Drosophila melanogaster: one gene and its partner. Each later gene encodes a partner of the first gene's protein in a complex. Each region holds a gene or a part of one and is shown on either strand. Other genes may lie near its edges.

Region 1 (4,067 bases):
AGGACATTCACTAGGAGCTCACATTATGGGCACTGCTGGTCGGACTTTTAAGAAGCTTACCGGAAAACTTATACCCAGGATAACTGGCTTGGATCCGGCCAAGCCATGTTTCAGGCGGGAAAAGATTCTGCCAGGATTGACGCGTGGCGATGCCAAGCTAGTGGACATAATCCACACCAACATTGGTATTTTGGCCAAGCGTGGACCCCTCGGTGATGTGGACTTCTATCCCGGCGGAGCACATCCCATCCAGCCAGGCTGCCTAACCATCGGATGCTCTCATACCCGAGCCGTTGAGTATTTCGCCGAGAGTGCATATCCACACCAAGAGAAGAACTTTATGGGCAAGAAGTGCGCTTCTTGGGATGAGCTAAGAAAACGGGATTGTTCTGCTGGCATAGTTTCCCCGATGGGCTATCGAATGAATCCCCAAGCCAGGGGCATCTACTACGTAGATGTCAATGGCTGGCCCCCTTACGGCCGAAACTCGGAGAACACTGTTGATCCTAGGCTTAAAACGTGCTACTTGTGCCGGAGGTGAAGTCCGAACCATGGAATAATATAACTTTTCTTATTTACGATGCTTAAATATATATGTACCTTAGTTAATTTATGTTGTACAACGTTTAGTAATCGATTTGCGTAAGATCTAGATCATCATTGAAGGCCTCGGATATGTCCTTTTGGCTCTGCATGATACGCTCCTGGGTTTCCGCGATTCGCCACAACTCATCGTCATCGTCACCCATCAGCATGGACCGATCCCCATGGCCCTTGATATCTGGACGGATTCTGGCCTTGGGCGGAGCAGAACCATTGGCGCGCTTCTGCCGGTTGCCCATCGCTATCTGGCTCTCCTCGAAGTAGTTGTTGGGGTGATTGATGCTCGGCTCGACGGGTGAATTGTGGGTAAGTTGGAAGTACTTGCCGCATCCAATTTGATAGTGACCGCGGGACACAAAGAACATCACCTCGTCGATGGCACTGGCTGACAGGCCATAGGAGGACAGCTTGGTTTTCAACGAGCCCTGATCCATGTTCTTATACGGACAGCCGTGGCAATCGCCCGGCCCCGCCACATCCTTGATAATCTTGGCGCACGAGTAGGGTGTGTAGTTGACCATGGAACCCTTCTTTCCGTAGTTATGGTAAATATTGTACTCGTAGCTGCGTGTAAACTTATCCGCGTCCATTTTCTTGGTAAACTCTTCGCGCCAGAAGCGCAGCGAATCCTCCAGTGCCACGCCAATTCCTTTGAGAAACAGGCCGTATTGCATTCGGCCGCTATGTTTTATGTGATGGTTGGCACGAATGTGCTCGTGGCACATGCGCATACACAACGGCATGGAGGTCTTGGAGAGCTGATCGAGCGACTCGATGGGCACAGCTGCATCCCGACAAACGGTGTAATCCCTACCGGTATACGAGTTATGTAGAGCTTTAAGTGTGCGGGAGATGCGCTCGTCGGCTTCTACATCCTCCACCATAGTCTTAGCAGCCTGCAGGCCTTGCTCGATCTCGTCCTGCTGCTTGGTGCCCACTAGGGACACCAGGTCGTGGGTGTTAACATAGGCGTAGCCAGCCTTTAAAAAGCAGCGACGTCCGCGCACCAGATCGAGCACCTGGGTGAAGGGCACCTTGTAGAAGTCCAACAGCTCGATCTTCGCCACGCTCTGTCCGACCGTGCTCTCGTACAGGCCGTCCTTGACTTCGTCCTTCTGGGCCTCGGTGAGGGGGTGAATCTCAAAGCCGTTGGCCTCAAGGAACTGCTTCACCTCGAAGCTGCTAAGTGCAGCGAATTTGTACCGGAAGAGCTCCATTTCGCGGGCCACGAACCAGCGCGCAAGGTCCTCGGAGCGGCAGTAGGCCAGCCGCAAGATGAAGTGCGAAAGATAGTCCCGCCTGCGGGTCTGGATATCCGCCTCGTGCTTGGCGCTTCCGCCGGTGGAGCAGAGCCTTAAATAGCTGCGCAATCCCTCGCGGGTCAGGTCCGCACTCACGATTTCCTTCCATTCATCTGAGAGCACGCGCAGGTTCCGGGTGCTTGCGCGATCCAGGACGCGGAGAAGGCGCAAGCGCTCTAGAGCCAGCTCCTCGAATTCGTCTATGTGCACGTCCTCCGTCGGCGGATAGTGGTACAGCATGACGTTGTGCGGGTACTTGGTTTCCAGGCTGGCCACCTCCACCTTCACCTCATGTCTCGCGCGTTTCTTCAGACCAAACTCCATTGTGAGTCGCGGGAATTGCTATAGTAATTTACAATTTGTGGAATGCCCGTTTGTTGTTTTGGCGCGCAAACTACTGATGGCAAATATCAGCTGTGTCAGTTGTTATCGATAGTTTTCTGCTCATTATCGATGCTTGCGGTTTATTCAATTTGTATTTCAAAATTAAACGTTTTTAATTGTTATTATCAGTCAATTGGTACTGATGTATTGATTGTGTGTTGCATTGTTAGATATTTCTTAGGCCTTAGCTTTGTTTACATAGTGTCCAGTAGTAGTAGGTTATGTTTAATATACGACGCTATTGCCTTTGTTAAGATATTTCAAAAACATCACATAAGCTCTTAAAAACCTAAATACCTTTATTTATTAATATATGTTTAAACTATACTTATGTTCAGCAGCAAATTTTGCATATTACTATGATTACTGTGGGGAAACTTTCGTCTTCATGAAAGTGTAATTAAGTAGTTTATATACTATATCAGGTACGTGCACAACTGACTAGAACTCTCCGGATAAAATTACATGTTTTCTAAACACTGATCTCTCTGGAGTTGATCCCTATGACCTCCAGGGATCTCTTCAGACGTTTCCAAAACAGCTTTCGATCCTCCTTGGCCGTCGGCCACTTTATATACGTTTTCACATCCATGAGATATTGCAAAGTCTTGGGTCGCTTTCGCCGTGGAATGTCCTCCAGAAAAACCAGGATCAAGTGCTCCTTGCTGACCTCAAAGATGCTACAATATACACACATATATTGATTTTAATATTTGAATTTTACAGATAAAGATTCCTTACCGATGCTGTGCCAAATACATTTCAAATTGACACCAATGACTCAACAGGAACTTGGAGGATATGATCAGCATAAGGGAATACGAGCGATCCATGCAGGAGATGATGTTATCTAGGATGGTCACTCCAATCTGCATGTGAATTAAGGGTTAAGGTTTCACTTTATTAGTAAGTTAATGTTGTAAGATAAGTACGCTTCACCTGAAAATCTCTTTCATGCAGACAAATGGACACATCCCCAGTTTCCTCCACGTTCGGCAGCAGTTCATTGAGCACCCAGGTCCGATCATTCTGGCAGTAGCTGATGAAGATATCGTAGACGGCACTGGGATCTCTCTGGGATATGTTTGTGAATTTATTCACCGACTCCTTGGACGCACTGGACAACAAGGCAGCGGACTTCAGGGAAGAGTAATAGTAGTGGATGTGCCAGCGCTTCAGATAAATTATAAATCCCAGGATGCAAGCGCCAACTAAGCTGCCCATGACTGCGATCACTGTGTTCGTAACGTGGTGCAACTCCTCGGCGAGGTCACTCATCGACCTGATCTGGCAGTTGAGCTCATCCACCTGGAGCTGATCGGTGTTGTTGAAGCAGTAATACTGACTGGCCTCGTAGTCGAGCAGCTGAAATTTTAGGGTAAGATCTCCGTCAAGGTCCCCTAAGTGGTATGGCTGGGCCGCGGAGCACTTGGCTACCATGTAGTCCTCGGAGGAGAAGCGCAGCTTGATTATATGATTCGCGCGATTGAACTCCCTGATGTTGGAGTAACTTCTCTGCAGCCAGGGAATATAGCGACTCTGCCATAGCTTGCGATCTATAATTAGTGACTCCGCCAGAGATATTACCTCCTCACCTACGGCATTCTGACTATAGTTCAGCAGTCTATAGGAGCAGTCTGCATCTTTATTATTGGCGGCCGCCACCTCCACCACCGCTCTCAAATGGCAGTCGCAAATAAAGTCGTTGTCCCCGAGACTAAGGTAATCCAATCGCTCAAAGTCCTTCAACATCTCGTTGGACAGCATGTTGATGGTGTT
Region 2 (7,960 bases), on another chromosome or scaffold:
CGACCTAAGGGCCTACTTCACAACAGGTGAGTGAGATGTGGATTACGGGCGAGCAATCATGGAGCAACTCTTTCAGGTGTGCCCGACTACAACATCAAGCCCTTTGACCCGCACCACTGTAGCTACGTTGAGCTGCGACGAGGTGAATCACAGGGTCTGGGCAGCTTTCGTCTGATATTGCGCAATGTATCCGAGTACGGATGGGCGCGATCCGAGGTGACCAAGTTCCATGCCGATCCAGAGGACCAGCGCATCGTCTACACTCAGTATTTCCCCGACAAAAGTCTGGAGGGCGAGTACGAGTTCGCCGCCAAGATGCTGGGTACTGAGATGAACAGAAAAGGCCACTGGAACCTCACCCTCTACGATTACAGGTGGGCACCGAGTTGCATGGAAATATGTATTTCCCAAGCTGTGTTGCAAACACCAGTATTGTTGATAGCTTTTGGCTTACATGACAACCTATCGCTCACTTTATTTACTTCCTCAGTCAAACCACCAGCGTTAGGCGCATCGGCGGTCCGGGCTCACTCATCAAGGTCCATGTGGAGGTGGACCGCATCGGCGGAATGGAGCTGCACATTGAGAACTTGCTGCAGGGACAGCCCCTCAACCAACTGGCCGATGGAGTCATCAACAGCATGTGGCAGCTGGGATTGCCCTTCATCAAGCCGATGATTAACGAGTTGGTTAGCACGGCATTTACGGATATATTCAACGAGTCCTTCCGGCACTTTCCGCTCGAGAAGTTCCTCGCCACGTGACCTCATCTAGTTAACCATACTGTATCTCTGTATCTCTTTTGTAGTATTTTTAATGGAACTTATAACAAAGGCTAGTTAATTAAACACTTAGACCACATCCGCCAAAGCACTCGGAATTGCTTCGATCTGGGGCTGCGCCACGGACGGTTGCAGGGACATCTGAGCCAGGGATCGGGCAAAGAGCTTGCTTAGCGAGATGATCACGTAGGAGGAGCTCTGCAACTGCTGATCCACCGTTTCGTATAGGAGTTGATAGGCCTGCTCCAGCTCCGGTGTGAGGGTGGCTTGATAATATGGACAAAATATAATTTCAATATGAAATGCTGTAAAACTTAATGATACCAATCTTAAGGGAAATATATGTATTAGGTGTCAGAACTAATATATAAACTACAACAATTTTTAAGAATTCAAGGATACAAGCATAAAGAACTACTGAAATCCGTCGAGATCACGGGAACTATAAAATATTTCGACTGATTTTTCCTTTCATGTGTCTTGTTATTTAGTGTCGATATTTCTCTCTCGTACTCCACATTCTTCATTTTGTTCTTATACACAAACTATTGTTTTAGTTTTTGATACTGCTTATAACTACATTGTATTTACTTACGTTTTTGCTGCAGCGTTTGCTTGCCGAGGTCGAACATGAATCGCAGGTAGCACAGCTGATTGTACAGGTCCCGCTCCGTATACTGACGCAGCAGGCTGCCGCTCCTGCACTTTTGGCACAGCGGGCGGTGGGATTTCTTCCTCAAGGAGTGTGTGCGGGTGTTGAAGTTGCAATCCGGGTGATCGCAGACCAGCCAATTTTTATAGAACCGTTGCACATACTGCCGCATGGAAAGCTGCAGCTGATTGCGCACGCTTGCCAGGTACTGAATCGGTGCCGTTTGGCACTCGGACTTAGCGCATTGCTGGAGTACGGCTATGTGGGAGTTGCTTGGACCCGGTCGGTACGCAGACGCCATCAGCTGCTCCGTCTTACAGGTAACGCACTGGAAGCGGAACGGTTCGCACAGGCGATACAACTGCAGAGTCGTCTTGAGCAGGGACTCACCCTCCGACTGCTCGGTGTTCTCTCGCTGGGTTCTACATAACCAAAATATTCGTTAGGTTAGAGTTTGTAAGGAGTAATAAGATAGTAAGTACCTCTGCGCATTCTGACGGAACTTGGTTGGGTCCATGCCCAGACACTCGGCGATGCGACTCGCATCGGTTCCCTCCAGCACCTCCACCATTCGCGTGACTACCGGATGGATCTGGTGTCCCAGGTAGTAATTCGTGTCCAGCTGCAGCTTCTTATCCTCACTGGTCTTGAGCTCATCCAAATGGTATGCTCGCTGCATGGCAGCATTTGTTGTCCCATCCAAACAGATCACATAGTCCACCATATCGCCCTTTTTGTACCGCCTATTACGCTCGCGATTCATACGAAGGGCCACCTGGACGTGGGGCAATGAAGCACTATTGGCATATTCCTGGGGAGTCCGAGTTAACTGTTTGGTGATGACAAACAGTGGCAGCGGTACTACACCCTCTGCAATTTGAGTTTTGATCTTCTCCAGTTGGGCATGCACTGCATCCAGTTTCTCCTCCAAAGGCTTTTCCGACAGCACTTCATCGAGAACGGCTTTTCCCACCATTACAGCCAGCTGAGACCAATCGCGACGTACTATATCCAGGCCCTTGTGCTCCTGTTCACGCCTCAGGTTTCCCTTGGAATCCTTGCTCAACTTGATAGCGGCATACTTCTTTTTCTTCAGCAAGAGCAAACAGCCAAATACTCCATCGATATCCAATTCCAGCTGCTTGTATAGTTTATTTACACTCTGCTTAATATTGTGACCAATCTTGTAGACCTGGTCGTAGTCGGTTATGTTGGTATTTATCATCAGGGAATCTGTGTCTCCATAAACAACGTCATAGTTCATCTTTTGCACGAGTTGTTGTGTGTTCGTGAGGATTTCTCTGCCCTTGTGGGTGACCAAAGCAGCCAAGTGCTGGGCAAAGAACCGGGAGTGGGCGAAACCCAAGCAACCATACATGGAGTTCGCAGTTAGCTTCAGGGCCATCTGCCGAATGTGGTACTGCATCTGGAGTTCCGGCGAAAGATCAGGCGCTGCCATTAGCTTTTTCACCTCTTTTCGCGACTCCACCAAGCGTTTCAATTGAAGGGGTAAGATTCCAGGTTCCGTTTTCGAGTCGGGTAGGGTGGGCAACTCATCTGCATCCACCGGCTGTTGGACGGTGGTGAAGCATATGTTGTACTCCTGTATTATACTGGGGTACAGGGAGTTAAAGTCCATGAGGAGAACGTACTTCTCGTAGAGACCACGCATGGGCTCCAACACTAAGCCACCAGCATAGGCTGCCTTCTTTTTGGTTTGCATCGTCGCATCTGCACCTGAAAGCGTAGCATCCGTATCTCCTGCACCACTTCGTTTAGAAACCGGCTTCTTGTCCGGCACTATGTAATTCTTCTCGTGGAAGGCATGCAGCAACAAGAACTCATTTCGTTCAGAACGACCTCCTTGAAGGGTCCTGGTCATGGTATTGCCGCAGATATTAGTGATTTGTAGCGCCAACGGCATGATGTTGAGCTCACACATCAGCCTTAGTAAATATGAATTGTCCTGCATGGTGAGCGATATGAGCTTGGTAATGCTTTCTCCTTTCTCATACATCTCTAGCAGATCATCGGCATTCACTTCCATTCTCTCCGATTCCTTAAGCTTCAGTACTTGTTTGCATAGCGTTTGCAGATCATAGGATCTTGCTCTTATACACTCCTCTGCAGATCGCTTTACATCACAAACCATTCTGCCGACGAAATGTTCCAGCAATCGCTTGCCAAACGATTGGCTCAGCCTCAGTCGCCCCATTCGAGACCATTGGGGAATCTTCAGGGCTACAATTTGATCGGTTATTACATTTAGTTGACAATCCATGGAATCGAAGGTTACAATGAGATCTGCATCTATTTTCTGGTACTGAGCTAAGAACCAACTCAACAGGGCTCTCTCTGAGTCATGTTTGTGCACTGTGGTAGACTTATATTTTGCCATCTCAAAGTTCAAATCTAAAGGCCAACTAACCACCGCCGGGCGAGTCAAAGCGCACATATGTCGATTGAAAGCGGGCTGTGGAGCAGGGCGGTCGATATGGAAACGATTGTGGGTCAGCATGGAAATCATGCATATCTCGTTTCTCGATGTTTTCGGATTCATTGAGGTGCGAACATTAAGCGATAGTAGCGTAAGTGGAGGTGGTGGCGCTGGCTTTCCCTTATCTTGCACCAACTCTACATTCTTGGGCTCTGTCAATGTGACCTCGGTGTTACACCAACTCATGGGAGTTGGGCTCACCTTGAATCCAGTCACCTGCAGCCAACAGGGACCTTTGATTTTCCGATCTAAGAGGAATCTTTCGAGTGCATTGGTGGTGGCGCCGAATATGTGTGCTATAGAATTGTATTTCTTGTCAGCCGACAAATTGGGCAGTGGTTTCTTTCCATCGTAGTGAACCTCCAAGTAATCGCAAGATTGCGGAACTTCAATACCGATAGCGTGATGGGCAAAACTCTTGGTGACCTTGCGGGATCGAAAGAACTCGAGCTTCAGTTGGTTTGCCACCTCGCTGTCGAACTCCTTGTATATGTCTGCGACGGTCACCTTCTGCTTGGTGGGCTCCTTCGAAATGGGATCTAAGAGCTAAAAGAATATATTCAGAAACAACACTTCACCTAAGGACTAAGTATTTGTAGAATAATACTCACAAATTGTCGGGGCAGCAGATAGAGCACACGGTTGATGTTCTGTACACGCAGACAGACGGACTTTCCATCTGCGGTCCGACCGAACAGGAAGACTTCGCCGGGCATTTTTACTGGATCCTCATAGGCCTCCCAGTACCAGAACCGAAGCTGTTGATCTGAGGAGATTGTCGAATCCTGCTCCGTGGTGAGCACGGACTTTTCAAAATCATCGTCCATTTGGCATATAGACTCCCAATTGTTCAGCAACCTACTAATGTCCTCCGATTCCGATTCCTTTGGCGATCCAGTTGTTTCTTTTTTGGGAGCTGATTTTTCGGCGACTTTGCTTTGGGATGTTTTCTCAGCTGCTGTTTTCGTTTGGGAAACCTTCTCGGTCTGCTGTGTCTTCTCCACATCAAACTGGTTTTCATCGTCATCCAGACAGCTAAAGTCCATTTCATTGTCGGAGAATGGATCTTCGGTGGCTTTTTTTGCAGGTGTCTTTTCAGGCATGGGCTCTTTTTTGATTGTAGGACTGGAGAAAAAGGCCACCTTTGTGTTTGGAACTGCTGCCTTGGGCTTCAGAATGCGCTCCAGCATCTCGTTATCGCTACTGGCCTCCGCTTTCTTACGTTCCTGCTCCTGAACTTTGATGTTGTTTAGAAAACTATTCATGTATTCCTTGGCAGCGGCGGCATCGAATTTACGCGACGTAACTGATATTTTCGCTGGGGCTATAACCTTTTCCGCCTTTTCTGACGTCGCTGCAGGCTCTTCCTTTATTTCGCCCAAAATATCAGCAAGGATATCATCGTCTTTCACACTGGTCTTTACATCCATCTTTTTGGGCACTGCATTGCTGAATAGATTCTTGATGGATGCTTTTCCTGTTACTGGTTTTTCATTCTCCCGTGGTCTCTTTTTGCTGTTGGGGGCAACACCCTTCTTCTTCTTCGAGTCCTTCCGATCCTCCTCCCCATCGGAGTACTCATCTTCGTCCTCGAAGAAATCCCGAAGATCTTCTGCATAACCAGTACCATCTAAAAGTTAAAATTTAGTATTATAAAGTATAGAGTTCAGAGTTCCAACTTACCCTCTTCGATCCAATCGTCACCGTACTTTTCCTGCGCCCTCTTCGCGTACTCCCGCTCATCAACCACATCGTATACATCGTCCACCTGGTCCTCCACTTTGCATTTGTTCTTGGTTCCCTTCAGCTGACGCAGTCGCTCCATGGCGGCGAACCTACCATTTTTGTCTACTCTCTGGCGCTTAGCGCGCGGTTCAGCTGGAAATTTATAATTTCGGTAAAAAATATGTTTAAGGGAGTTATCTTATTAACTTACACGGTGATTCAGACATTGCAACTGGCTAACTTTGATAATAATTTCCCCGTGTTGTGCTGCAGTTTGCAAAAATTGTTTTGTGACCAGGGCTGGAGGATGATCAAAGCGGGAATGGCGGGAACATATCGATAACAGAGCTACGATACATAAAGCGCTGCCGGACTTTTGCAATGTAATATCGATAGTGTCGTTAAGAAGAGGAAGAATGTAAGGAAATTAAAAAAAATAAAAGCCATACAATAACTTAATCCCAAATTGCAATTTTATTATTAAGTAACATCTCTATTTTATGAATTTCTGAGTGGTAATATATCGATAGGTGGCAGCGCGTTATGTTAGCTCTGGGCACTGTTAGCGTCTAATCTGTAAGCACAAATGATCGATTACAGTTAACACGAATAGTTAACATAACAGTTACAGCGATTTAAAATGACTGCTATATTTTGGCGGGAAATCCGACCTGATAATTGAAATGAATTCACCAAGTAAGAAAGAACAATGATCACCATTTAAAGGGCGTTCTTTTAGATTTTACATTTTCGAGCTTCAGCTTTTTAATTGCAGTGGATCACAAAAAGAAAAACTTTTCCATTAGCAGTTGCTCCATGAAGATCCCCTTTTAATGTGCTTGTCATATGTTTTTATTCCCAAATTAAAAGACAATAGTTTGTTTGGTTTTAATCGTATTTTATTTATCATGCATAATATTAGGCTTATAAGATATATATAATATTATACTTTAAATACAATATACAGCAATTTCGATTAAAATTTGTGTGGATTTGAAAGGTGATTTCATACCCTATATAATTATCAATGCAAAATCATGGTTTATATATATACACACATACACAAAACAGACTTACATATTACATGAATACATATATTTATGACTATATTTGCTGTTTAATTGTTATAAGCAAAAATTCGTACATATTTACAATTTAATAGTAAATATTTAGAATTTCTGCACTTGCAGTCGTTATATTTTACAATTATTTTCGGGTGTGTTGGTGAGGAAAGATTTCGGAAGATGAGAAAATATGGAAAATACTGTTTTAGGATAGGGTGATCGAGAGGAACTATAGAAAGGATATTAAAATGTCAGTCTACCAGAATGTACAGCAAAGCAGATAAAATAAGATAAAGGAGGGCAGTTAAGCAAAGCAGATAAAATAAGATAAAGGAGGGCAGTTATTTAGGATCCTTGAGGTATTTTCTTTAGCTATGGGGTGTGTTATTCATTTCTATATGGTTTTCATTTTTATTTCAAGCCACAGACATGGCACAACAATTTATTATGTTTTTTTTTTATGTTTTAAGGAATTTTTCTCCGTGTATGGTTTCCATAGTTTTGGCTAAACATTTAACAACAGCAACAAATATAAAAACAACAAGAAATAATCGTTAACAAGTGCAAGATGATACTGAAATGAAAAGAGAAGAAAAAGAATCAATGAATAATTCAGTTTACAATTGGTTTAATATTATACTATGTTATTATGTAACTATATTAAATCAGAATATAAAGTGGGTTGCAATTCTTATTCCAGTATAATTACATTGCTTGCTTAAATGTATTTCATATTTTTCTAAAGTTTATTTTGTATCAAAGAATTATCTTGATCTGGAGTATTCTTAAAAATACTTAAAAAACAAAAAGTAAATGTTATTACCTTGCTCTGTGCCTGCACAGATGCAACAGATGCTAGACCCACTGTTCACGCCCTTCACACCACCTGCACGGTGGCAAAGGCACTAAAGGTGACCTTCTTGGGGAACTCCGGTCCGGGGGAGCCACGCGTCTTGATCACCGGCTTGAGAGGCTGGCGGGGCTTCAGGGAGAGCAGTCCGGCGGAGGCGGCCAGTTCCCTGAGGCGCTGGGAGAAGCCGCTGCCTGAGTGACCGGAAGTGGTGGCCGCGTTGTGGTGCTCCAGTCCAGCGCAGTCCAGAACATCCAGGCCGTTGTTCGAGCGATAAACCTGGGCGGTGGCCGTGGGATAAACCGCCAGGTTGGTGCCACCCACGCCTCCTGACGCTGAGGTTGATGAGGTCGCAGTTGCATTGGCGGCTGCTGCCGGAGTTATGTATCT

The links.
Region 2: Prim2 (region 1) and PolA1 share a complex: the UniProt entries of both Drosophila melanogaster proteins name them as parts of the alpha DNA polymerase complex.

The regions. Positions count from the first base shown.
Region 1 is NT_037436.4:20,359,280-20,363,346, forward strand, and holds Prim2 (DNA primase subunit 2), read right to left. Parts: upstream 2,307-4,067; 5' UTR 2,229-2,306; coding exon 627-2,228; 3' UTR 554-626; downstream 1-553. Other genes in the region: CG5665 (uncharacterized protein), read left to right, coding at 1-541; Toll-9, read right to left, coding at 2,761-2,968, 3,030-3,157, 3,228-4,067. UniProt on the Drosophila melanogaster protein: Regulatory subunit of the DNA primase complex and component of the DNA polymerase alpha complex (also known as the alpha DNA polymerase-primase complex) which play an essential role in the initiation of DNA synthesis.
Region 2 is NT_033777.3:21,665,763-21,673,722, forward strand, and holds PolA1 (DNA polymerase alpha subunit 1), read right to left. Parts: upstream 5,989-7,960; 5' UTR 5,884-5,988; coding exon 5,868-5,883; intron 5,810-5,867; coding exon 5,615-5,809; intron 5,562-5,614; coding exon 4,543-5,561; intron 4,478-4,542; coding exon 1,917-4,477; intron 1,857-1,916; coding exon 1,378-1,856; intron 1,049-1,377; coding exon 852-1,048; 3' UTR 800-851; downstream 1-799. Other genes in the region: Jhbp16 (juvenile hormone binding protein 16), read left to right, coding at 1-26, 77-374, 491-764; CG31176 (uncharacterized protein), read right to left, coding at 7,598-7,958. UniProt on the Drosophila melanogaster protein: Catalytic subunit of the DNA polymerase alpha complex (also known as the alpha DNA polymerase-primase complex) which plays an essential role in the initiation of DNA synthesis.